Linked DNA regions of Drosophila melanogaster. The protein of the gene in region 1 purifies or fractionates together with the protein of each later gene. This does not show direct contact. Each region holds a gene or a part of one and is shown in the gene's direction. Other genes may lie near its edges.

The links. Proteins that work in one complex are often made in the same cells at the same time.
Region 2: the proteins of pAbp (region 1) and Cnot4 purify together in Drosophila melanogaster (affinity purification with western blotting; one study listed by BioGRID). This does not show direct contact.
Region 3: the proteins of pAbp (region 1) and Paip2 purify together in Drosophila melanogaster (affinity purification with western blotting; 2 studies listed by BioGRID). This does not show direct contact.

Annotation. Positions count from the first base shown.
Region 1 is NT_033778.4:18,137,537-18,146,647, forward strand, and holds pAbp (poly(A) binding protein), read left to right. Parts: upstream 1-2,541; 5' UTR 2,542-2,796; intron 2,797-3,240; exon of another isoform or gene 3,241-3,418; intron 3,419-3,838; exon of another isoform or gene 3,839-3,880; intron 3,881-3,951; 5' UTR 3,952-3,970; coding exon 3,971-4,136; intron 4,137-5,265; exon of another isoform or gene 5,266-5,402; intron 5,403-5,463; exon of another isoform or gene 5,464-5,606; intron 5,607-5,642; exon of another isoform or gene 5,643-5,788; intron 5,789-5,876; coding exon 5,877-7,361; intron 7,362-7,430; coding exon 7,431-7,684; 3' UTR 7,685-7,738; intron 7,739-7,805; 3' UTR 7,806-8,699; downstream 8,700-9,111. Other genes in the region: Pcl (polycomblike), read left to right, coding at 1-107, 163-1,237, 1,305-1,700.
Region 2 is NT_033779.5:10,394,606-10,403,587, forward strand, and holds Cnot4 (CCR4-NOT transcription complex subunit 4), read left to right. Parts: upstream 1-2,110; 5' UTR 2,111-2,377; intron 2,378-2,573; exon of another isoform or gene 2,574-3,042; intron 3,043-3,395; exon of another isoform or gene 3,396-3,429; 5' UTR 3,430-3,509; coding exon 3,510-3,614; intron 3,615-3,673; coding exon 3,674-3,787; intron 3,788-3,838; coding exon 3,839-3,988; intron 3,989-4,048; coding exon 4,049-4,144; intron 4,145-4,711; coding exon 4,712-4,930; intron 4,931-4,989; coding exon 4,990-5,107; intron 5,108-5,162; coding exon 5,163-6,074; intron 6,075-6,129; coding exon 6,130-6,264; intron 6,265-6,357; coding exon 6,358-6,393; intron 6,394-6,471; coding exon 6,472-6,666; intron 6,667-6,728; coding exon 6,729-6,989; intron 6,990-7,056; coding exon 7,057-7,136; intron 7,137-7,198; coding exon 7,199-7,262; intron 7,263-7,320; coding exon 7,321-7,728; intron 7,729-7,801; coding exon 7,802-7,957; intron 7,958-8,025; coding exon 8,026-8,165; 3' UTR 8,166-8,601; downstream 8,602-8,982. Other genes in the region: Mdh1 (malate dehydrogenase 1), read right to left, coding at 1-339, 1,610-1,612; CG17768 (uncharacterized protein), read right to left, coding at 8,631-8,951.
Region 3 is NT_033777.3:12,979,212-12,986,860, forward strand, and holds Paip2 (polyA-binding protein interacting protein 2), read left to right. Parts: upstream 1-1,834; 5' UTR 1,835-2,176; intron 2,177-4,523; 5' UTR 4,524-4,528; coding exon 4,529-4,672; intron 4,673-4,735; coding exon 4,736-4,836; intron 4,837-4,899; coding exon 4,900-5,029; 3' UTR 5,030-6,277; downstream 6,278-7,649. Other genes in the region: CG7091 (uncharacterized protein), read left to right, coding at 1-266, 325-607, 744-985, 1,042-1,206; CG31342 (uncharacterized protein), read left to right, coding at 7,013-7,219, 7,278-7,498, 7,577-7,649.

The DNA of each region.
Region 1 (9,111 bases):
AAACCGGGAAAATTCGATCACAATATGCTGCAGTGCTGCAAATGTCGGAACTGGTTCCACACCCAATGCATGCAGAACTTCAAGAAGAAGCTGCTGCGCGGCGATATGTACGTATTCAATTGCTTTACTGTGATCTAAACTGAAATGAATCTCATTGTCTAGGTTCTTTGTTTTCTGCTGCACGGTCTGCAACAATGGCATAGAATTCGTTCGTCGTATGCAAATCGAATGGGTGGATGTGCTCCACATTGCACTATACAATCTGCGAAAGCATCAGCACCAGAAGTACCATCACCTGCTAAATGACATTTGGCCCTTCATACTCGAGCAGCGCCACCAGCTGCCTATCTGCGAGAAGTGGCGCACACTGCCCGAAACGGCACTGATGGAGCGTCTCAAGCAAACCCTTAAGGATTACTCTGACAGATTTGTTTGCGGCAGGGAGTTTAAAAGGGCTCCGGCCTTCTATGCACTGAGACACAGTGGCCCGCCACACATTCCCAAGGTATTCCTTGAGCCCCACGAGGAGCTGTCCGATGAGCTGCTCGAAAAAAGATTTAAACTAATGCTCATGCCCGAGGAGCCTGATGAAGGTGCCAACGAGCTTCCGAAAAGAGTTCCCAAAGATGTGTATGAGTTTAATACAGATGAAGATGACCCAGTCGAGACCAGCGAGGACGAAATACCCATCAAACAGATTATTGAGAAGGCCAAAAAGCAGGCCGCTCAGAAGGCCGATAAGCATGATGAGTTGCCACTGAAGCCGGACCTCGCCGACGACAATGCCAACGATGGCGATCCCGGCAAACTACCAGCTCCCATTCCACCTCTGCTGGACGCAAACAGCAGTCGGAAGCGCAAGGCTTTCCGATTGTCCAAACGCTATGACAACAGCCGCAATCACTGTGATCTATCATCCGACGAGAATTCAAGCAGCAGTCGGGGAACCAGTTCGTTGGACCTCATCATACCACCGCCGGTCAACTTTTTGGGACGCAACAATCCATTCCTTATGGCCACTCCCAAAAAGGCGTCGCAGGGACGAAGTATTTCTGTGGGAACTGGAGTCGGAGTAAATGGCATCATAAACAGCATTTTCAAGCTTAAGGGCACCTCCAAGGAGCAGCCGCGCATGGTGCGCACCATCAAGCGAAGACTGAGTGCCAAAGACATTACGATAGGGCCCAATCAGGAAGTGCGCAGACGACGCACTCGCCGCCTGACCACGGCCATTGAGGTAAGAGTTTAACTAACAACAATGTAACTATAATGTTTGAGATGTTTTTTTCGTTTCCACTTAATAGGTCATCAGCACCACCACCATCAATCCCATACCCAGCCACTACCTTCCTATCTATGCCAAAGATCTGCAGCCACCCGCGCCGCCAATGGGAAAGCCGACACATGGGCGCCTGTTGCGCCAGCGACCACAGAAGCAGTCACCCAGCCAAAGCCGCCGGAACTCCACCAGCTCGACGGCAACCAGCAGCAGCAGCAACGGCATTGGAGCCCCAGGACATTCCATGCTGGACTTGAAGCAGTCGGTGAACAAGTACTTTGGTGGCGCTATGAATCGCATAGATGCTGGTGAGCCCTTTGCCATTCGGGCCAAGCGGCGCATGGGAAATGGACAGGTCCAGTACCTGGTGGAGTGGGGCGGAGATACAGCGACAACGGCGATTGGATTGCTTGGAAATTGAACCCTTTGGCATACCGACTCATTATGAATTTTATATTCTTCATTTCCATTATCATTTCTTTTCGTTATTATGTATTAATGAACGCTGCCAACTACGGGCCTCTTTATTTGTTAATGTTTAAAAGTTTATTACCAACCCACTGCCAAAATAGAAAAAGATTGTTCAAAATATTGGTTCAGCATTAAAGCGATAAAATGTTAAATTGTAAAAAAAAAAAACGAAAAAAAAGCAAAAAGCAACTGAATACAGGTTATAATTGTGCAATGGCAGTTAAGTGTTGCAGCAGAACATAAATAAGTTTTCACAAAATTGGTAAAAGTATTACAAGATTAATCTGGAAGCCTATGTAAAATTCGCTGATGAATGAAAACGTATTAAATAATGAGAACAATTCAGTTAAGTTCAGTACTGTACTTTAGCGATACGCCACGCCCATGTATGTTTTTGAAAAATATACCTTCAAATGGGAAAACTCACAAATCATGTCATGCATACAAAAAAAAAACAATTGATATACATACATACACACAAATTTAATAAAATGTAGGACTAGTTCAATAATTTTCACCCATAGTCTAGGCAAAACTACACAATAATGAATTAAGCCAGTACGTTTTATGTTTAACTATTAAATGCTACGAAAAATCAAAATTGAGTTGAAAGCAAACTAATTCTCAAGCCAAGTAAATGTTTGGCCAAACCAGATCGAAATATGTTTAATGAAGTATATAATGCCCAAATAAATGTTTCCGAAATGTCAAATCTTTTAAGATTTTACTCAGGACACGCCAGTAGGCGCCCAAAGTGACACTTCGCTTTGAAGCTTGTCAGGCACCGACGCCTCACACCGCTTCATTAGGTACTCGATCGCCAGATAGGGCACATGCACCAGACGTTCAAAACGGGAAAAAGAAAAAAAAAATTATCCTCAGCCATCCTTGAATGTGGTCTATTTCGTAAAAACAAAAACACAAAAAAAAAACTTAAAAAATTCTTCAATCTCTGTAGTGCCGATTTCCATCGAGAACGAAAAGAAGTACTCAAGCACTTCTCGGAGTGTCGACTTGCAGCCTCATCGCTTTATTCTCTGATTTAGGTAAGTTCGCACAGTGGGGAATTACAAAGATGGGATTCGGTTTTCGGAGCATACGCTAATATCTGTGCAGTGCCAAAAAATCATTTTCTAAAAGTCTACGCTCATTTTTAAAAGAAAAAAAAACTGCATTCCTAATTTTGGATTGTGTTTTATGAGACAAAGTATTCAAGGACATTGGCGAAAATATCAGAACATAAATGAAGCAGAGTTACCAAAGAACCCCTGAAAATGCACAAGTATTTCATGTTTCGGGAATTAGCTAAATATAAAAATTTTTTATGTGTGATGGCTGGCTTTTTTGAAATTCAAAATAATGCTTCGTAATTAGTAAATTGTCCTCACGGATTTTTTAGTGACATTTATTTGTCTCTAACCCTATGTGGCAGCATTGTGCAGTGGGATTTAATCGATACTTTGTGGGGTCATCGCTAACGAATCTCCTCTCTATGAGTCGTGTAGAGTCCGTTTACGTGAGCGGTCGTGGATTCGCTTTCAGCACACGGCTTATCACATATTTTTTGTGAAGAAAAAACATATAAAAAATAAAAAAAAATATTAAAACACAAAAACGTAACAAAAAAAATTGTAAAAAGTAGCAAAAAAAATCGAGCGTGTTTGAGAAGTAAGTACAGTGTAAAGCTATTGGTTACAATGGTGTAGAGAGTGAGAGGGCGCAACGCACGACAAAGCGAATAGGGAAATTTTCCTTTCCCATCGAAATTTGCTTTGTTTGCGGTCGTTCTTCGCTCAAAGATGGCGTCTATAAACGCCAGATTGCCCGCAAAATAGTGGTCTAGGAACTAGTTGTCGCATATTTTCGAGAAAATCAAAGAATTCCCCAAAATTCGATCAGGCAAACGCGTGTCTATCTTTGTGTCTGTGTGGAAATTTTCCAACACGAAGAGAAATAAAAGGGGAGAGCAAAGAGCAACAACAAAGCAAATGCCAACGTTGCCATGTCTACCGACTGTCACATGTACCAGTGTTGCCACCCAGACACACAGACAGAGAGACGAATAGAAGACCGAAAGCCACGCCGCTTTTTTTCTTTCTATTTCACCGCCTGCCTGGTCGAATCCATCCGGTCCGTAAAGATTAAGAAAAAACCCAAAATTCAGTGTCAAAAAAGTGGAAATTAATTGTTAAAAATTGCAGGTAGACCTGATCACCAAATATGGCTTCTCTATACGTCGGTGATCTCCCACAGGACGTCAACGAATCGGGACTTTTTGACAAGTTCTCGTCTGCTGGTCCAGTGCTGTCCATTCGTGTCTGCCGCGATGTGATTACCCGTCGCTCGTTGGGCTATGCCTACGTCAACTTCCAGCAGCCAGCCGATGGTGAGTAATCCCCGCAAAAGTAGTGTAATTTTTTTAGTCTTACTGCCCGCAAAAGTAGCCCCCTTCCGCGCGAAACAAAGAAAACACGTGTGCAGTTTTGCACTCGCTTACTCACACACGCACGCACACTAGCGCATGTCATACAGTGGGGCTAAACGCAAGTCCAAACTGGACTTTATTGAAAGATGTCTTTCATAGGAGACCAGATAAACGGCTTCCAAGTGTTTCATAACTTGTTCCACAGTGCACTGCTTACGTTAATCTCGTCGCGCACACACACACGCACTCAATTCCCGCCAGTGTGTACACACACACACATGATTATATCAGTTCCAGTTATTCTGGATGTATACGATTTGTGCGGGGGGATGATGGGGGCTAAACAGCTGGCTCGTGGCACTCATCAACTGTTCGCCTAGAAATTTCCGTCTCAATTTCGCACAAAATTGCAATTATGATGGAATAATATGGTTCCATACTGCCCAAACTGCTTATCGCAGCCCCGCCCATTGGTGGTTTCATTGTTTCCTTGCCCGTTCTTCTCGTTTTATTCGTGTGATGTGTGTTGTTTCCAAGCGGCAAACTTGCGCGCACGCACACGCCGACGCGCAAAAACATGTGTTCATTGTTGTTTGGACCATTTCTTTTTGGCCTTCATCTATTTTAGGTTATATTCCATTAACTGAGTTTCCGCACGTTCGCTCTTTAGTTTTCGTACTGCCTCCAACTTTTGTTTTGCTTTCACTTTCTCATATCTTCCATACTCTCCGCATTCCATCCATCAACACTTCCAAATTCTTGACATGTCAGTGAACTGCTTTTCGGCCTCTCTTTTAACCATCAAAATCTTGTTTTTACAAAAAACGAAAACAAAACTTTCACTGCGCATAGTTGGTGCTTCTTCGATTCCCGTTGTTCGCTTACATTTGTTTATTCAATTAAGCGCACAATGGCACAAAGCTGGCGGTTGGTGATGATTACGCTGCGTGTGAAAGTCTGTCGCATTCCAGCAAGTTTCTTGAACTCTAGCTGTTAAGGTTAGGTTGGAAAAACAGACCTTTCAAAAATGATACCATCTCGTTCTAGACTAGTAACACCCTAAATGTTTTTCTTTTTTCGATTCATATCTCGCAACTCCTACCCATTGGTTGGTCAGATTTATCTCTTTTTGACACGACTAAGATTCAATGTTGCCAGAGAAAGCAATGCAACTTACCATGTAGATGGCTGATCTATGCCATCCACAGAAGTAGAAGCATAACAAACACTAAATAATACATCATATGATTAGACTCGAAGGATTATGCCCTTTCTTATCTAAGCTTCTAGCAACTTCTACCCATTGGTTGGTCAGATTTAACCCATTTTGACACGACTAAGATTCATAGTTGCCAGAGAAAGCAATGCGACTTACCATGCTGATGGGTTTTGCATACCATCTGCATAACAAACACTCAATGTATCACATGATTAGACTGATAAGATTGTCCTTGTATTTAGACATCTAGCAACTCCTACCCATTGGTTGGTCAGATTCAACCCTTTTTGACACGACTAAGATTCATAGTTGCCAGATAAAAGATCAGACTTGACTTACCATGCACTGCGCTGCTTTTGCTCATGGCCAGTGCAGAAGTTGAAGAGTCACATTGTTATTTAAGCCCCTTCAACTTATAATGATCTTGATATACCCAAATCGTGTCGGTAGTAACCAAATGTTTTCCCGATTTTCATCAACAGCTGAGCGTGCTTTGGACACCATGAACTTTGACCTGGTTCGCAACAAGCCCATTCGCATTATGTGGTCTCAGCGTGATCCTTCTCTTCGTCGCTCAGGTGTGGGCAACGTGTTCATCAAGAACTTAGATAGGGCCATCGACAACAAGGCAATCTACGACACTTTCTCCGCCTTCGGCAACATTTTAAGCTGCAAGGTAGCCACCGATGAAAAGGGCAACTCAAAGGGCTATGGATTCGTCCACTTCGAGACCGAGGAGGCCGCAAACACGTCCATCGACAAAGTCAATGGCATGTTGCTCAACGGCAAGAAGGTCTACGTGGGTAAGTTCATCCCGCGCAAGGAGCGCGAGAAGGAGCTGGGCGAGAAGGCTAAGCTCTTCACCAATGTATATGTGAAGAACTTCACTGAGGATTTCGACGATGAAAAACTGAAGGAATTCTTTGAGCCCTACGGCAAGATAACCAGCTACAAGGTCATGTCCAAGGAGGATGGCAAGAGCAAGGGCTTCGGATTCGTTGCATTCGAGACAACAGAGGCTGCTGAGGCGGCCGTTCAGGCTCTCAATGGCAAGGACATGGGAGAGGGCAAGTCCCTGTACGTGGCTCGTGCCCAGAAGAAGGCCGAACGCCAGCAGGAGCTGAAGCGCAAGTTCGAGGAACTGAAGCAGAAGCGTCACGAGTCTGTGTTCGGCGTTAACTTGTACGTTAAGAACCTGGACGACACAATCGATGACGATCGTCTGCGCATCGCGTTCTCTCCATACGGCAACATCACATCGGCCAAGGTCATGACCGATGAGGAGGGTCGCTCCAAGGGATTCGGCTTCGTGTGCTTCAATGCCGCAAGCGAGGCTACCTGCGCCGTCACCGAGCTGAACGGTCGCGTCGTCGGCAGTAAGCCGTTGTACGTTGCTTTGGCCCAAAGGAAGGAGGAGCGCAAGGCTCATCTCGCCTCGCAGTACATGCGTCACATGACCGGCATGCGTATGCAGCAGCTGGGACAGATCTACCAGCCCAACGCGGCTAGCGGCTTCTTTGTGCCGACCCTTCCGTCAAATCAGCGTTTCTTCGGTTCCCAGGTGGCCACTCAGATGAGAAACACACCCCGCTGGGTGCCCCAGGTGCGTCCCCCAGCAGCCATACAGGGTGTCCAGGCCGGAGCTGCCGCTGCTGGTGGCTTCCAGGGCACAGCCGGTGCGGTGCCCACTCAGTTCCGTTCGGCTGCTGCTGGCGCTCGCGGGGCACAGCCTCAGGTGCAGGGCACACATGCCGCCGCTGCTGCGGCTAACAACATGCGCAACACTGGAGCACGCGCTATTACTGGCCAGCAAACTGCAGCACCCAACATGCAGATCCCCGGAGCCCAAATCGCTGGCGGTGCCCAGCAGCGTACTTCCAACTATAAGTACACCTCAAACATGCGCAATCCTCCAGTGCCACAGTTGCATCAGACCCAGCCAATTCCACAGCAATTGCAAGGAAAGAGTAAGTTTTAGGTCGACTGAAAATATGCACAATTTGTCACTAATGGCACCATTGCTATTTTTCTTGCAGATTCTGAGAAGCTCATTGCCTCGTTGCTGGCCAACGCCAAGCCGCAGGAGCAGAAACAGATCCTGGGCGAGCGTCTGTATCCGATGATTGAGCATATGCACGCCAATTTGGCTGGTAAGATCACCGGCATGTTGTTGGAGATCGAAAACTCTGAGCTCTTGCACATGATCGAGGATCAGGAGGCCCTTAAGGCCAAGGTGGAGGAGGCTGTGGCCGTGCTTCAGGTGCACCGCGTCACCGAGCCCGCCAACTAAGCTCGAACAGCTCAAGCGTATGAACATTTTACAAGAACACTTTACACCCAAAAAGTAAGTAGTCTACAAATTTTCCGAAAAGTTCAAGCTGTCTAAACTCGCCTCTCTTTTGTCCTTGCAGTTTTCCACTAATCTTTCAATACATGAACAACAAAAATTCGCATTCACTGATGCTTTGCGCAGGGGAGGATTGCCAAGGACACACAATTAACACAGAAAAACAAAGCGAAAAATCTACGGCTTTTTCTTTTCTAATCCCAGAAACATCAACAAAAGCAATTTCAATCATTTAATTTCGAACGCATTTACGCAAGTACACGAAGCAAAAGAAGAAAGTCACGCAATCAAATTCTGCAGTCCACTTATAAATTCTTTTTTTTTACATAAACATGTTAATTAAAAAAAAAAACGGAAAAATGTGAAATGAAAAAAATTTCGTTATTGCTTTAACTGGATCGATATTATTTTGTATGCGTATAATGAAAACACCAAAAAACCATTGCAAAATAAACAGATTAAAGCAAAGCATACATGTAAACCGCTTCTTGCAAGTATTGAAATTGTGTTTTAAAAATTTTAAAGAAGTTTCTAGTGTTACATACATATTGAGTTTTTCGTACACTTTTTCCATCCACACTTTCAAACAACAACAAACACGAAAGCGATATGTAATTTTTTTCAATTCTTTTTTCTCAAATTCAAACTTTAAGAAAGCTTTGTTTAGAAAAAGAAACGCGACAACCATACACTTTTAAAAAAGCAAAGAAAAAACAAAAAAATTGCAAAAGAGTTAAAATAAAAACGAAAAAATGGAAAGCAAACTGTGCAGAGAACAGAAGAATAGAAAGAAAGAAAGAAAAAGAAAACCGCAAGAATATGAGAGTCAAGTTTTTGCTACTTTGAAAAAAGAGAGAAAATACAGAATACCAACAGCTGAAAAAATATGTTGACAAATGAAAACAAAACATAAATCGAAAAAACTACAAAAAAATGGCAAAACCTATGTAAAAACAGCAAAAAAAAAATAATATATATAAACACAAAAACACACACACAGCAACACACATATTAAACAACCACAACATATATGAGAAATACAAGAAACACATGAAAAGCGCTAAAGCGTAAACAACTTATGAAGCATATTAATAAACAACAAAAAAGCAGACAGGATTTTTATGATTACACTATTATCCGAGAGAAGGAAAAACATGCATACATTTATAAACATTTGCAAGAACATATATGTATTTAATGAGAAGGAGCTGGTAAGTCGCCTCGATTTCATTTGCGTTCCGATTTCTGTTACAAAGGATATCGAGAGTTTTACCAGTAAATGATGTTTTTACACCATACATACATAAAATGATATATTAACGCAAGCGGAAGTAAGAAATGGCTTTCGCTCTGGGCAGTGAAATACATAT
Region 2 (8,982 bases), on another chromosome or scaffold:
CTGGCCCTGGGTCCTGAAGATCTTCACGTTGGCGGACAGCAGATCCTTTCGCTCCATTCCCTCCTTGCGGGGCATGGCGCCCACGAGGAAAGCGGCCGAGACATCCTTGAATCCAACAGCCGGGTCGGTGGTGGGCACCACCTCGACCAGCAGCGGCAGAGCGCAGTCGGCCAATTCCATGACCACGCCCTCGAGCACACCAACCATGGGCGGAATGTCGAGCAGGTGCAGCACGATGGGCTGATCCTTGCCGAACACCTCGCCGCGGGCAATCATGTACAGCAGGGAGTAGGCGATTTGGCCAGCGGCTCCGGTCACCACAACACGAATTGGTTCAGCCTGAAAATATATTCACTCGATTAGGAACATTCCTTTAAGTGTATTTCATCTTCCTTTTTCCATTTCTTTATGCATTTTCCGTATTTTATTTCAAGAATGTTCTTAGCTATGTTTAGATGCAGCTAAACTAATTATACTGTAATAAGGGGCGAATTTTTCATCCAGCCTTTGGCTTTGGATCTATATTTTATTTTTAGACGCTTAGCGGCGAGGAAATATATGCGAAAACTGCTAACTACACAAAATACTTCGTATATATCCAGCTCGCCATTTCCGAATTAAAACCCATTTAAGTGCAATTTCAGCAAAATTAATGCAAATATGATAGCTGAAAATAAACAAATGCGTGACCAGGTTTTTTGTTACTGTTTTGAAGTGTGTCTTTATCAGCTTGCATTTGTTGTTTACGATAGATAACGAATTTACTTTATACTTTATACTTTAGCTAGAACTCTTAAATTTCCTCTCCATTTATCTCTGAGCTGGCATTTTCAATAGTTATAGATTTAATAAAACATTTTATAAGTGATGTGCTTTGATTTTTGCTTGCTAGTGCATTTTCCGCCCATCCTCGTTACGCAATCCCAGTTAATCCTTTCCTAAGGGCACTAAAAGTAGGCCACTTGTGGCAATTGACCCCTATTTATGTTTTGCCCTAAAGAAAAGTCACAGGGCATAGTTTCCAGTAAAATGTAGCTAAAGACGGGAATTACTAAACATAACATATATTATATTTTTATATTATATATTTGTCATTGAAGAAGTTTTTAACTTCCAAACAATTGGAAGCGTAACCCCTGGGAGCATTTAGCATTTTTGATAAGATATGACAGATTTGAACTGCATGGACTTTGCTTCACCGCCTCCAATCATCCGGTTTATATAAGCTCTATCTGCTCCGGCAAGAGCTATTAAAACATGAAAACAACATTTTTATCGCCGTCAATTGGCAATTAGCTCGCATTTGCAATAAATTCATGCTTTTGGGGGCCTCTGAAAATGCAACATTTGTGCATACGTTCGAATTGACGTCACTAAGGTTTTTGGTTTTTAAGATTAGCATGAAGAGAGGTCAAATGAATGTTAAATTTCCAGAAAAATTATTGCGACCAATCACACATACCGTCATAACTACACATTATTGTGTACGGCACTTTGAATGCATATGTATGCATATTCTTCACATTTGATAATCAAATATGCAGATTATTAATAATAATTTGATGATATATACTATACGAGCGTAGCGAGAAATCGCCGGCAAGCTTACCATTTTAGAATTTCACAGGTGCAACGCTCCACGGACGAACTTCAAGTAAAAACGTAAATAGGGATCGCCAATTGGGAACCTGTTACTTTTCACAATTATTTTCCAGTCACTACTTTTTGAATAAAAGTAGCCGTGACTCCAACGCAATATGTTTTTGGCAAAATAATCGATTATGTTGCTCCTTACAAATTTACTAAATTTTTAAATAATACAAAGAGTTAAGGAGTTCTCTTATTGTTATTAATATTTACAGTTGCCAAAAAAAAGTAAATACATATATAAATAAATAAAACGATGATAAATGAAAAATTAATAGAAATATAGTTATTAAATTAGTTAATGTAAACAACAAAATTTTGCAGAAAAAGCATCAAATATCATATTTCTTTGCATTATTCTTGGTCACTTTGTTTACACATACAAAATTAGTACCTAGCTATATTTTCATATCTGAAATACGCAAATGCAGTCGTGTGAAGTGATTTTTTCGCTTGCTATTATCGATAGTTTGAGCTGTGGAAAAAAATCGAATGTTTCTTGTGGAAAAAATTGGAGTCTTTAATTTGGCGAATCCATTCGTTTACTTTGCGTTTATTTTTAGCCTTAGTACTTTCGTTTGATACGTTTGCTACCAAGTATTTATAAAAATTAAAAAGCGTTCAAAAACACAATTAACCATTGCAACGTCGTTTCATCAGCTATTCAGAGTGAATAAAGAAAACCTACATCACACCTACAATCATACGTGTTACGTGTACATACATATGTGTATGTATATATACTCTTGCTTATGTACATTAAACATTTGCCGTTTTCCTTTCCAACCAGCCTTTTGTTATTGTCTAAAAATCGATTTTCGTTACCCTTTTATACGAGTTCGTGATTTGCCATAATTAATAAACAATAAATCACAGCTGTGGTTTGGTAAATAAGTGCAGCGTGAACAATGTACGCTTATGTACATAAACACTCGCATATGTGTGCGTATATAGTGGATTAACAAATTGCTGATGTACACATATTAAGTGCTTTTACAATGCATACGCAAATATCGATGCAAATTCTAGTAATTTTGCTTAATACCCACACGTATTTGCATGTCGCCATACTCACACACATGTTCGGTTATTAAACTCTTGAAAATTGTACTTTCTTTTTGATTGTGTTTTAAAGAGAGCTTCCGTTTTAAATTTGAGAACTTATTGATGTACGCAGGTAGTGCGTATATTTCCGAGCTGGTTTGATTTTTGTTATGAAAAGGTATCCATATTTAAAAATACTTTTTGTGTTTGTTTGTCTGCGTTGTAGGCATATGCGTGTGTGTGTATATACACAATAAAATTACCTGACGGCAAACACCTTCTTCGGGTCGCATTAAATTGTCTTTTTTCAAAGGTTGCATAAAGTCAACAATACCACGAATACAATGGGCAGTATGTAAACAATTTTGCACAAATCGCAACTATCAAAAAAAGTGTTAAATATGGATATTAACTAAAGTGGTCAGCTACAGGTGCCAAATGTCCACAACTTGTTTTTCGTAGTGTGCAAAATAACGGGGTGATTCATCTAATAAAGATCGCATGCCTTCCTTTTTTTTAGGTGTTTTAGGTAGACAAAATCATATATGCATAGTTTAGAAGTACAAGACAAGGGAATATTCTTCTTATTTCAATGCAGGTTCATACCAATCTGATGAAAATCCATCCTACAAAAGCTATCCTTGAGATTTAAGAATCTACACACAAAACTTCATCCTAATCAAATATATATATATATATATATTATTTATACATATAAATTTTATTTACTTTCTACAGCTTGGTTCTCATCATTATCAACAATTTTATAAAAATTACAACTGCGAGTACTTCATCACTAATCAACAAATCACCTGAAAATGAACGGCCTGAGCAGCAATGATGATGCAGTCGAGTGCCCTTTGTGTATGGAGCCGCTTGAGGTGGACGATCTGACCTTCTTTCCGTGTACCTGCGGATATCAGGTACATACTGTCATTAAAGCACCCTTATCAGCAGCGTATTCAAGTGCTATTGCTTCCAGATTTGCCGATTCTGTTGGCATAGGATCCGCACGGATGAGAACAAGCTGTGTCCGGCATGCCGAAAGGAGTATCCCGAGAATCCAGCTGACTTCAAGCCGCTGTCGCAGGAGGAAGTATGTCGTGGTCACCTCGTATTCATTCCACTAACTTCTACTCTTCTTTAGATGATTGCCTTCAAGTCCCAGAAACGCCAAAGGGACCAACAACGAAAACAAAAGATCACCGAGAACCGCAAACACTTGGCCAACGTTCGCGTTGTCCAAAAGAACTTGGTGTTCGTTGTGGGGCTACCGCCACGACTTGCTGATGCAGACGTATGTTGATTTTGCGCCATAGATAACCGACAGCAAACCCACTCACAATTGCCATTTCAGATATTAAAGAAACACGAGTATTTCGGTAAATATGGGAAAATTCATAAAGTCGTTATAAATCCAAGTACCACGTATGCCGGGGTCCAGGTAAGAGTTGTAAGATTCAATTATTTATTACCTCTATACATTCATATGGCCCAATGGGCCAATACCCGAGTTGCTTAGTCATTTTTAGGTGGTTTCTATGAAAACTTTGATAATGGCACGTTTTCAATGAAACTGAACAGATTTACGTGTATCTACCAAAATTTATTTTCGATTAAAATGAATTTGAACCTTTTGTTGTTAGCTGCTCTGGTAAGCGAACATTGTTTATAACAAGAAGTTTAAGTTTATTTTTTAACCTTTTTTATTAATATATATATGTATTTTTTTATTTTAGGCAAAATTGTGTGCGAAATGCAAAAATTTCTTGTTAATTTATGATTAAATGGATCGGAATTTACGTTCTGTTTCCGTGCTTATGCTAAAAAAATCAACTTTTGACCAATTATGATAAGAGTCTATTTTAGAATAACCCCGATTATTGTATACAAATCAAAAAGCGTAACATTTGATAAACCTGCTTTCTATAAAACTGCGAGGGTATCAGAGTTTTCGGTCCACCGAATCGCGTTTCACACTCTGCCATCATTGCTTATTTAAATTTTTTCGATTTTAAAGGGTCCATCTGCTTCTGCGTATGTCACATATGTTAATAACTCGGATGCCTTGCGGGCCATTCAAAGCGTCAATAATATTATGATAGACGGTCGGCTTATAAAGACCAGCTTGGGGACAACCAAATACTGTAGCCACTTCATGAAGAACCAGCAGTGTCCCAAGGGCGACTGCATGTACTTACATGAATTGGGCGATCCCGAGGCCAGTTTCACAAAGGAGGTAAGTTGTGAGATAACTAAATTTGTCCGTATTTAAATGTTATGTCCGGATATTTAAAGGAAATGCATCAGGGAAAGCACCTGGAGTACGAGAAGCGCCTGCACGATACTCTAATTGCGTCATTGGGACCGAATGCAACAGGTATTGTAAATGGTAATGGAGCTTCTAAAGCAAATGGTAATTTCAGCCAAGCTACATACTAAATGACTTAATAATGTTTATACCCAATCAGTCGCGATTCCATCGTCATCGTCAGCGTCATCCTCGTCCTCTGGATCGGGTACAAATGGTTCAAGTGCATCAGGTAATGCCCAGCAAAAGGAGGCCTGGCCAAGCTTATCGGTCTCGCCCATCAATGGCAAAGAGGCGGCTGCCACTGCGACCAGTTCCAGTGGGAAAAGTAAACGGGAAAAGCTGCGCAACGAGAAGAGGCACGAGAAGAACAAGGCGAAGAATAAGAACGGCAGCAATACAAACGCCAATGCCTCGAACAAGGAGAACTATGTTCCCGAAACGAGAAGCAGCACAAGTACTGAGACATTCGCAGAGGCTACGGCGGATGCACCGGCTTCCACCAAGGCAGAACCGCCGCAAGCCTCTAGCAATAGAACGAGGGCGGATCGTGGAAAAGATCGGACCACGGCTAGTGCAAAGGAGCAGAAGAAGAGCAAGGAAGCTGCTCCAGCACCTGCAGCAAGTAAACCGGCGGAGCGGGTTGAAACAAGCGAGAGTACAATAAGACAAAAGAAGGCGGAAGTAACAGAAAGCTGTGAAGATAACTTACCACAAAAGAGATTAGCGGGAACAAACGTTCAAAGATCTGTGAGCTCTTGTAGCGAAAATAGCGAAGGACACGTCTCTGAGAGTAGCTTAAGTGAGAAGAGTTTAACTGGTGATTATGTGGAGGAAAAGTGCAATAGTGTGAATTCGGAAAGCCAGCAAGAAAGTGTAAAGTTTCAGGAGGAGCTCGAAAAGAGCAACGAGGCAATTGTCGAGGCCGAAACGATTCTGCCAACAGCTGAGTCCTCTGAGGACATCAGTCCCGCTGCAGTTGCGCCAGGCAATGGAGAAGTCGAAGGATGCTTACCCGTTGTTGATCCAGTCGAACCACCGAGTCTGGCGGATAATGGAAGCAGAGTAACAGGTATTGTACCTTATCCATTTAGTCCACCACACTTTGCTAACACTTTCCGTTGCAGATGCGCTATCTAAGCTGAACATTTTCGATGACACGCCTAGCTTTTTCACATCGCCATCATTCCAGCAAGCACCCATATTAAAGAATAAGCTAGATTTGGAAATGCGACAGTCTCATTTACCTGACTTGGTCAACGGTAAGTTACGAATCTTTGAAAATAAAGAGAATTCTTTAATTTATTTTTTCTCATTTTTCGGTACTGCTAAAAAATATCAACGGGCTTAAACAGACATTGATGGAATCCAAAAGGCATCCAATACAAACGGTAATGGTTTCATTATTAAAGCATGTATTTGAATTAACTCATATTTATTCTTAATTTATCCATCCTTTGCATAAACAGAGTGGGAGGAAGCCTTCAAAAATGTGATGATGGGCAACACGCAGCACATGGAGGAGCAACTGTTGCAGCAGCAACATTTGCAGCAGCATCAGAATTTGCGCCACCAGCTGGTGTTGCAACAGGAGGAGTTCCTTCGCATGCAAGAATTACAGAAACGCAACAACTTTGCGACGCAAATCAACGGTCCTGCGAATGGTAGGTGAATTCCTACTGTGGTGTACTGCAACTTTAATAATTGTGTAATTAATTCCTTTTAGATTTCCTTAGAGCTTATGAGCTCAGAGCTCAAGCCAATGCAATCATTCAGCAACAATTATTACAACAGCACGCAGGCGAAAATCTATTTGGCGGCAACATGTCGAAGTTCTTCGATTTCCATAAAAGTCAGCCGCAGTCACACCATCAGTATCTAAATGGACATCCGCCTCAAATCAATGGGAACGGTGCTGTGCCGGAGCCGCAAAGAGTGGCGGCCTCTTTGGAAAGCAATCGACTGAATTCGCCTTTTGTCGAAAATGGTGGGACATACTTTACAATGAAATTGCTGGCCAGCCCGCAATAATAATATTTACGTTGTTATCCTAGGACTTATTAACTCGCAGCAGCAGCAGCAGCAGCAGCAACAGCAACAAAAGCAGAGAATGATGGGAATGTATGAATTTATGGTAATGATTTCAAATGGATTTAAAAAGCAACATGCTAATATCATATTTGTTTCGATTTCCAGCCTCCAAACACGCAATCTCAGCAGAATCGGTTTACACAGAACTCGATAGTCGACGATGACTTAGGTAAGACCTTGTTTATATCTCACTTCAAAGCCTTTTCACTGATTCTGCTTGTTAAAAGGATTCGACCCGTTCGTTGAGACCCAAAAGGGACTTGCTGAACTTATGGAAAATGAGGTGGTCCAAAAACAGAGTATTAATAATGAGAACCCCTTGCCGAAGTTGCCGCCACAGCCTCAAGTTCCACCCCATCCGCAATTGGTGGACAACCTGCAGCGAGCTCGCATGCCGCCGCCAGGCTTCAATCACGTCAACACATTGGGCTTGGGCGGTGCATCCAGACTGCAGCTCACCAGCAAAATAATACCCTTCATGAACATGCCCGTCAATGGGGTGGGCAACAGCGGTGCCCAGGGACAGCACCAAATGCCAATGGGTGTCAACTGGAATGCGCCGATGGGCATGCACCAGAACCCGGGACAGCCCGTGGGTGATTCGCAATTGCAGCATCCAATGGCTCACAACAAGGGTAAGTAATTGAAATGATTACATTTTTTGGTACCGAGAAAACTGTTTAATCAAATTATTTGGATTCGCAACAGTTTACAACAACAGTGATTGGACTTCAATGGATCCGGCTATACTTTCGTTTAGACAGTATTCTTCTTTTCCACAAAACCAAATTCCCCCACATCCTCAGCAGCAACAGGATTTATTTTTGCAGCATTTGGCTCAACAGCAAAATTCCCAGAGTGGTGGTAAGTGGGGCAACCAAGAGTTTACATATCAACAGTCGATTAAAATGCATCGGATTGTGTACTTGCAGGTTTCAACAACCAGGCACAGCAAATGCTTCCTATGGGGATGCCCAATAGTTTGCTGAACGGACAACAAACGCAGCCGCCACAGGTCAATGCCAATGTTCAGGGCATGCTTGAGTTTTTAAAAAGCCGTCAATTCGTTTAGCTACAATACATATAAATAATACATTTGTTTACCTGTACTCTTTATTAAATATTTCTTAAAGTAAATATAGGCAAAATAAAATTCGAATATAATGAAACTACATGATACAAACAAACAGACGGTCCAGTGAAATTCAGCCTACTAAAAGCATTTGTGCAGCAAGCGAAACACTTGGATGCCGTCTCCCCGCGCCGGACGTGTCCGCATGAATCCAATTATAGTATCCAATAAACCCCGTTCAGGGTGTAGTCTGCTTGGCAATAGTGAAGCCCCCAGTGATTTTTCAAACTTGAAACCAACTCATTCCAATTGCTCGCTGGATAAAAGACAGATTACCATGGCAATAAGTAGCAAAGAAAACCTCGTGATGTGAAATTATCGAGACTGTGTAAAAATGTCAACTTTTTAATAATAAATACGTGACTTGAAATGGTTGAAAAGAATTTATTACTACGATCCGAAGAACTATTTCCTATTTTTGGCGGCGTGGGGCAGACGGTTCCCTTGGCCAGCAGCGCCACCCAGGCGCATCGCGTTGTTAGCAGCACCTCCGTATCCCTGGCCGGGACGATTGCCGACATTGTTGCGGTTGCCGCCACCAGGACGTCCGCCGCGCTGATTTTGCGACGAGTTGCCGCCGCGGTTTTTGTTCATCTCTGTGCGATTCCTTGACTTGGCCTGCGCGTCCTCCTTGACCATGTCGATTACTTCGTCGGGGATTCGCAGATATTTGATGGTGCTCCCGCGGATATAACATTCGGGCATGCGCCAAAACCGATCGCCATCCTGCAAAGTACACATACACATATTGGTATAA
Region 3 (7,649 bases), on another chromosome or scaffold:
CTCATCCCACAGAGAGAACAGCGCTCCTGTCCTTCGCCTACAGTGGTCTTCTGATGGGCTCCATGTTGGTTTACCCGGTGGCCAGTTATCTGAGCAACTTCGGCTGGGAACTGTCCTTCTATGTAGTCGGTGGAGTTGGCCTCTCATTCGGCATTGCCTGCTGCTTTCTCGTTTACGACACCGTGGAGCAACATCCAAGGATATCGAATGAGGAGGTGGATTACCTGAGGCAGGGCAAGAGTCAATTGGGACAGCAGCGGCAGCCAGTGAGTAGTTCCTTGTACTTTTAACTTTAAAATTATAAATTAATTAGCTTCTTTTTAGGTGGTAACCATTCCCTGGAAGAGCCTGCTCGCCGCGCCGCCCGTCTACGCCTTCATCCTGACCCACATGTTCCACACCTACACCTTCCTGGTGATTGTGCAACTGATGCCGCGATTTATGCGCGAGGCCATGGAGTTCGATCTCCGCGAGGTGGGCTTCCTCTCGGCGGCGCCGTATCTGGGCGGGATCTGCTCGAAGGTGATGTGCATCCTGGGTGGCAGCTATGTGGAACGACGCGTGGGTCCTGACCAGAATTGTGTGCGAAGAATGCTGTACGGGATCTGTAAGGCATACCGATAATCGGAGTGCCACAGACATCTATAAAGAACACCTTCCCTTAGTGGATTCCTATATAGATTTCCGTAGCATCTCCAGAAACATCACCAATCTCTCTTTTATATCCCATTTTATAATACCAGGCAGCATCCTGACCACTTCTTTGATTGGGGTCATCATCCTGGCTAATTGTGATGACAAAATACTAGTACTTGTGATGTTTGCCTTCATGATGGCCACTACGGATATGGGTTTCAGTGGCTACTGGCCCACGCTGCTCTACTTTGCGCCCTCCTTCGCGGGATTGCTATCGGGATTGGCCAATGGAATGGCCCATCTTTCCGGATTCTTAGCTCCCCATCTTGTGGCCGCTCTGGTCCACACTGTAAGTTTAAATACAAGTAGTTTATGATTAAACTGATTTATTTATGTACCTCGCAGGGCAGCAAGGATGAGTGGAATGTGGTGTTGATGACGCTGATTGTCTTTAATACGATGGCCATGTTGGTATTTGCATTTTGCAGCAGTACGAACCTACAACCTTGGGATCCTCGTAGCAGAATGGAGAAAACTGCATCACCAAGTGCTCAGGAATCAAATAGTTAGCACTTATTTGTTTAAATGTTTTAACTTTTTTGTACTTTCGAAGCATTTTATTTGTTTACTATAAATGTAGAGTTAATTGTGTTAAAATAAAAACAAAATAAATGTAAATATACAATATACATATCAATTTAGTTTAAAATGATAATTGAACTTTCTTCAACGCAATCTTCAAATAAAATTTTTAAAAACCGCGCCTAGCACATAGTATCTTTCAATCTTATCGATAGTTTTACCGTTGTATAAAGCAAGCTGACAAATGTTTCACAACGACCAGTTTTCTACATTTCAAGTACAAAATTACACAAATATTCAATAATTCAAAAATATGTGTGAAAGCAGACATCTATTGGCAGTCAATGTACTAAATGCTCATATTCTTTACACGCCAATCGATAGCTGTTTGATTTGACGCATAGATTTGGTTTGAGTCCCGGCTGAGAACTGTAAGACGAAGAAATAGCTCATTTACCTACTTTAATGGTGCTAAATCGCATATATCACAATGCTTTAGGAAAAGTATTAATATTTCTAGAAAGCGTATGCTATAACTCTTTGTGCTATACTATATATAGGTGGAAAGACATCGATAGTCGCAGGGGAGTATCGATGCATCGATAGTGCCATCGATGTTTCTCCACCTTGCTTTATTAATCATTTCAATTTTTTTTCAATTCGGTTGCTTGACGTTCACTGACGTGATTCCGCACACAGCACATAGTCGAATACGTTTCGCAATAGAAATATCAAAATTCTCCGTGTGGACTCAATCTGGATTGGATGCAACACTAAATTACCAGTGTTTTCCTCGATTTTCTAGCGACGCAAAATTCTCAGTACAACCCAAAAAAAAAACGGAGAGTCTCTTCAACAACAAAATCAAGCATCATCGATAAAAACAACAAGTCTCCCGGAGGAAGTGGCTCCAAAATATCCAGTGCAACAGCGGACGAACTTCTCGGCAGGATTGAGAGTGAGTAGATCGGATTAAACAAATTAAATAATCCCAAACATTGTACATATGTATATACATTTATTTGTGCGCGGGGAAAGGCGGAAGTCAGAGAACTTGGCTTCCTGGTTTTTCATTTACCTTTTGGCGCTTCCGCCAAAACACTTAAACGTTCACTTAAAACCGCTTCTGGACAAATCAATAAAGGCCAAGTGTCGGATCGGACATTACCTTGGTGTTCCCTACTTACACTTGAAAAAATTTCGTTTAACATGGTAATAAAATTAATCAAGGCTATTTATTGCACATCACAAAGAAAGTTTATGACTTTATCAGTTAATTAACTACAATACAAGGGTATAAAAGTCAATTGCTTTTCAAAATGTCTCAATATAATAAAATTTAAAATCATTTCATATGCCTAACATATACATATACATATATCATCTTTCAAACCTACTAGTAGAAATTCGAATTTATAATTACCAAGTAAAGTGATTTATTGCCTTGAGTGTACTTCAAATAAAACATTAAATGCTAGAAGTCTACTTTTTTTCTTCCTGTGTACGTGTGCGTGGGCCAAGCTAGACTCCAAGTACACGAACCCCAAGAATATTAATGTTTAAACTTTAAACACTTGTTACCTTGAATGAAACAGTGCGCTGTATGTATTATCATTGCCGCTGCTGTTGTTGCTCTTTTTTTTGGGTTGAGGGAGGTTCATTCAATCGGGCACACCAACACCACTGCACTTGAGAGCCCATTTGTGTGTGTGTTTGTTGTTGCCTCCTTTGTGTTTTCTGCATATTCACTTTACATACTAAATGTATGCACGAATTTCGTCAAGTCCGCCGTGCAAATACATTTTAATTTTCGCAATTTCATTTAAAATATGGACGCTTAACTTAACATCTACTTGCAATTCGATGTGCTTCACTCGTGTGCGTGTGTGTGGCAGCACGTACACCAGTAAAGGGCCAGAGTTGCCATCCTAACTTCTTTTTTCCAAGCACTTTGTCTTGCTGATAAAAGCAGCTGATTTTTATAAATAAATAAGTAAAAGTTGGAAGACGCAAAAAATTCAATTTATTGATAGTGCGATTTGACCTACCAAAGGCAATAAAAATCTAGAATGGAGAGTAATCATTATCTTGTGTGGAATAAACATTCACGCAAAACTTGCCTATGTATGGAGAACTGTAAACAAATATTCGCACAGCCGCGGGTAACGAACTAGGCCCTCAATAAAAATAAATAACAAAATATATTATTTTCGATACAAACAATTCATAAAAAATGTCAAACATTTGCTCTTAAACTGACGTGCAATTATTAGTGCGCAAATATTGTAAGCAGAGTAAAAAAGAATGAAATTACGTGATTAAAATATTAATGTCCTAAAACTGTATTATAAAAATATGTACACAATCGAACGTTACAGGCACGTTCAACATGATAGCTAAGCCCACAAACTCCTCCGATGACAATCATCGCCTTTGGCTTATTGCGTTTTGCATAAATACCGCTCTTGACTTTCGTGTTATTTCACACGTTTGCTTGTTTGTTTTTAGCTGATAGCGGCATTTATATACGCCATAAAATGTTTAGCGGGGCTAGAAGTGATACGAGTTGTGAGCCTATACATTTCTAATCGGATGTAGTACTGAATTATAGACTACATTATATGTATATAGCATACAAGTATGTCCACTTATTTGGGGCTCTTTTCGCTTTTGCACCAAAAGCTGAGTCACTTTGTTTTCAAATTTTTGTGTGCCGCGGCCACAACGCAAAAAATAGACATCACTAAACAAAAAAACGTTGCGCAAAAAGAAAAGAGAAAATGTTCACTTATTTATATAAACAAATAGGTATTAGTGTTAGCCACTACACCTGTATAGGTGCGATTTTTGTTTTGTTTATCTCGTGGTAATGACGGAAAACCGGTTTCGTAGAACGAAAACACAACTGCTCCGGCTTCTTGCCGGTTAAATACGATTTGTTTAAATACAGAAGAGCCTGCCTAAGTCAAACGAAGCTAAAAAAAAATTCATTCAATTCATTCAGTAGCACAGCAGAAGAATTTGTATTTTCAATATTCGTTGGAGTAGGCTACAAGAAATATGTATGTTTGAGAACCTCAGAAAAACTCTGAAACTCCTGAGATTAAGTTGTAATTAAGCAATTTATAAATCAATCGAATGCCTTATATATAGACATATTTCCGTGGCACCTCAGATTCAAATGTTTAAATTGTATTTATTAATATAATATATTTCTCATAGTTTGAGCTTAATCGTTGAAATATTAAGAAATATGAGACCAACTGTTGATAAGTTCGCTTTTAGTAATCCAAAATCCCTTACAGCCAATATGTTGTTAAAAGTGCCATCTGTGGACTGGACGGATCAAATAATTTACGTAGTGGACGACGACGAGTCGCTGTCAGACATCGACGATGAGCCAGATTTTTCCGAATACATGTGGATGGAGAACGAGGAGGAGTTCGACAAGAACGTAAGATTAAATCTCCTATTTATGATTAACGAATTAACTAATACATTTGCTATCTGATAATAGGAACTGCAACGGCTGGAGGAGGAAGAGATTATGCAGGAGTGTTTTGAAGCCATGATAGAAGACGAGCTGGAGGAGCAGATCAACGAATGGGAGAAGGCCAAGTGAGTAGTGGCTATCCGGTTAACATTGCTGAATTAAAGCTAATTTGCAATCGCTTATTTCAGGACGGACGAGCAGAACACGGCACTTTCCGCACTACCCAAGAGCCAGTGTGATGTTGAAAAGTCTGTTCTGAATCCGATGGCTGATGAGTTTGTTCCGCGTTGTCATGTTATAGATTTCCCTGCCTCATAAAGCCAGCCCATATCTCCTGCCCGCCACAGAATCACAAACTACCCCGAACCCGTACCACGTGGACCTCATACGCGAAAAACCTTAGATAAACTGAAGACCCATTGCTAAGACTAGACTAACAGATTCCGCTAATGAGATTGATATTGATATTCTGACCAAGTTGAGCCAGATGGAGCATTGGGAGCAGTGGCTCATGAATATCTTATTTCTAGATACCAAAATGCTGGAAAAGAAAACTAAATATACCAACAAACTCCAAATGCTGGCGACCGAAATGCAAACGAATCATATTAAAAAAAAAACCTTATAAAAAACAACTGAACCACTGCAAAAATACAAAAAATATGTTTAAAAGAAAAACCAACAAAGAAACAAAAACACAACTTAAACTAAGAACAGACAAATAACAAAATAACAACTATGCCACGTACATTAGAGTACATTGAAATTAGAGTTAAAACCGAATTGTTTGCCGTGAAATTCGGAGCCCCAGAAATTCCGAACCTAAAATGTTATCGAGAAACGCAGACGCAGGCGCTTGCTGAAGCTAGTGAAAACTTTGGTATTAACGTACAAAACGAAAACAAATGACTTTTTACAAGCAACTAAATCTAAACTACAACTAAACTATGCCAATTTCCAGCTAAAGCAACTGTAAGCAACAAACAAGACTCGATTGTGTTAGAAACAAACCAAGAATTTGTAGCCGTCATGTCGTTAAATTGAAATTCTATTCAAAGACTTTAATCGTAGTTTAAATTGTAATTAATTTAACGTCCCGCCCACTGTCTACACTCGATTTAAGTTGATCATCTTTTTTTAATCTTTCACCATTGTTAACTCGTTGTACGTTCTATGCCCAAGTAACAAGAAGCGCTTGTTAACCTTCCCTACTGACTCGCAATATTTGTAATTTACCAATATAATCTAGTGAACTAAACGAATCGATATACTAATGTTTAACGCCTCTTTATACAAACATCATGCATAAATATGTATATCTAGTGTTAATGGAGGAGACAACAGACAACAACAACGCTGCAATAACAAGTAGTTTGTAATTTTAAGTATAAAATTCGTTTGATGCAAATGCACAAAGCCCTCATCGATTTGTTAATATCGTTAAAATTCGTTTCGGCATGTAGACAAAGATGAATTTCTATTTTTTCAATCAACTTAGATTTAGTGACTTAAGACAGCATTATAAGATCTACTACATTACTTACGTTACGTGTGATATAAAGATACAAAAAAACAAAGCAAAAAAAATATCAAAAATGATTTTAAAAATCTCAATAAAAAGAAGTATTATTATGGCATAAAAACTTGGTAGTTTTATTTTTTTTATATTTTTTTTCTTGCATAGATACTATGGAAAGTGAATCAGAAAGATAATCGAATTTACTGATCTTCATTTATTTTATTAGCATCTGAATTATTATATCATATTGGAAGAGCATGAAAATAATAAGATCTCTAAACATTAAAAATATTCTTTATCAAAATTTCATTGCACGCTTAATCATAACTTTTTACATACTTTTCATACGAATCTATTACTTTACACGAATAAATAAAGAATATATAGTATACGTAAGTTGTTGCGGAAAGGTTTTTGTAATTAAGCAATATAAAAGAAAAACATCCTAAAATCGGATAAATAATAAACAATGATTTGTAGTAATTGAAATTTGATAAAGTTTTTATTGCTTATAAAATGTTTTCAATTTCAAGAATACCGCTAATGCACTGCACTTTCGATAAGTTTTGTGTGGAACAATACCGATACCCATATCCAAATACCGATACCAAAAATGGCGTCGTGATTTCCCAGTTGATTTTCCCAGAAAATGCAGCATATTTCGTGGCCCAATAACGCATCAAGTGAAATGTGGGCTTAATTAGCGGAGAGCAACGAGCCCAAGGCATGCAAAAGAAGCCCATCCCAGTCAGGAAACCACACCGTAGTTTTGGGAAGCGGTCATGGCAGCGGCGGCGACGGCAGCACCTGCGACATCCAGCGGGAATGCCAGTGTACCTGCTCCACTGCCCGCGGCTGCCCCAGGCGGAGGAGGAGGCGCACCAGGTGCTGGTGGGGGTGGAGCAGGTGCCCAATTCCGGGAAATTCACAAGAACACATGGCTCAAACGGCTGACAGCGGATGGGAAACGACTGACCGTCGGGCCCAAGGTGGGTGGCACCGAAAGACTCCGCCTAGTGTCTGGTTACTACATCACATGTCTTTCAGAAATCTGAGTGCTCCTGGGTGGTGTTCTGTGTTCACGATGATACGGAAGCTCTGCTGGAGGGCTATGCGGAACCTCGTCAGGCAGCTGGTCATCTGCCGGAATGGGCCGTTTCCTTGCGGGAAACCCTGCACATCTCCCATGCCCTCATCCCCAATTCGCATGAGTTCGAGTTTGTGGTCACGCTGAGCCACGAGGTGTTGCGCTTTCACGCCGTCTCTTGGTAAAACTAAAAGCTCCCCGCACGCAACGCAATTAAGATTGCACCACTTACAGCTCACTTTCGCTTTTTTATTCGCAGGGAGATTATGCAAGAGTGGGTGGAAACGCTGCGCTCCAAGCTGCGCGAAATGAAGATTCTGTCGCCGCGCGAA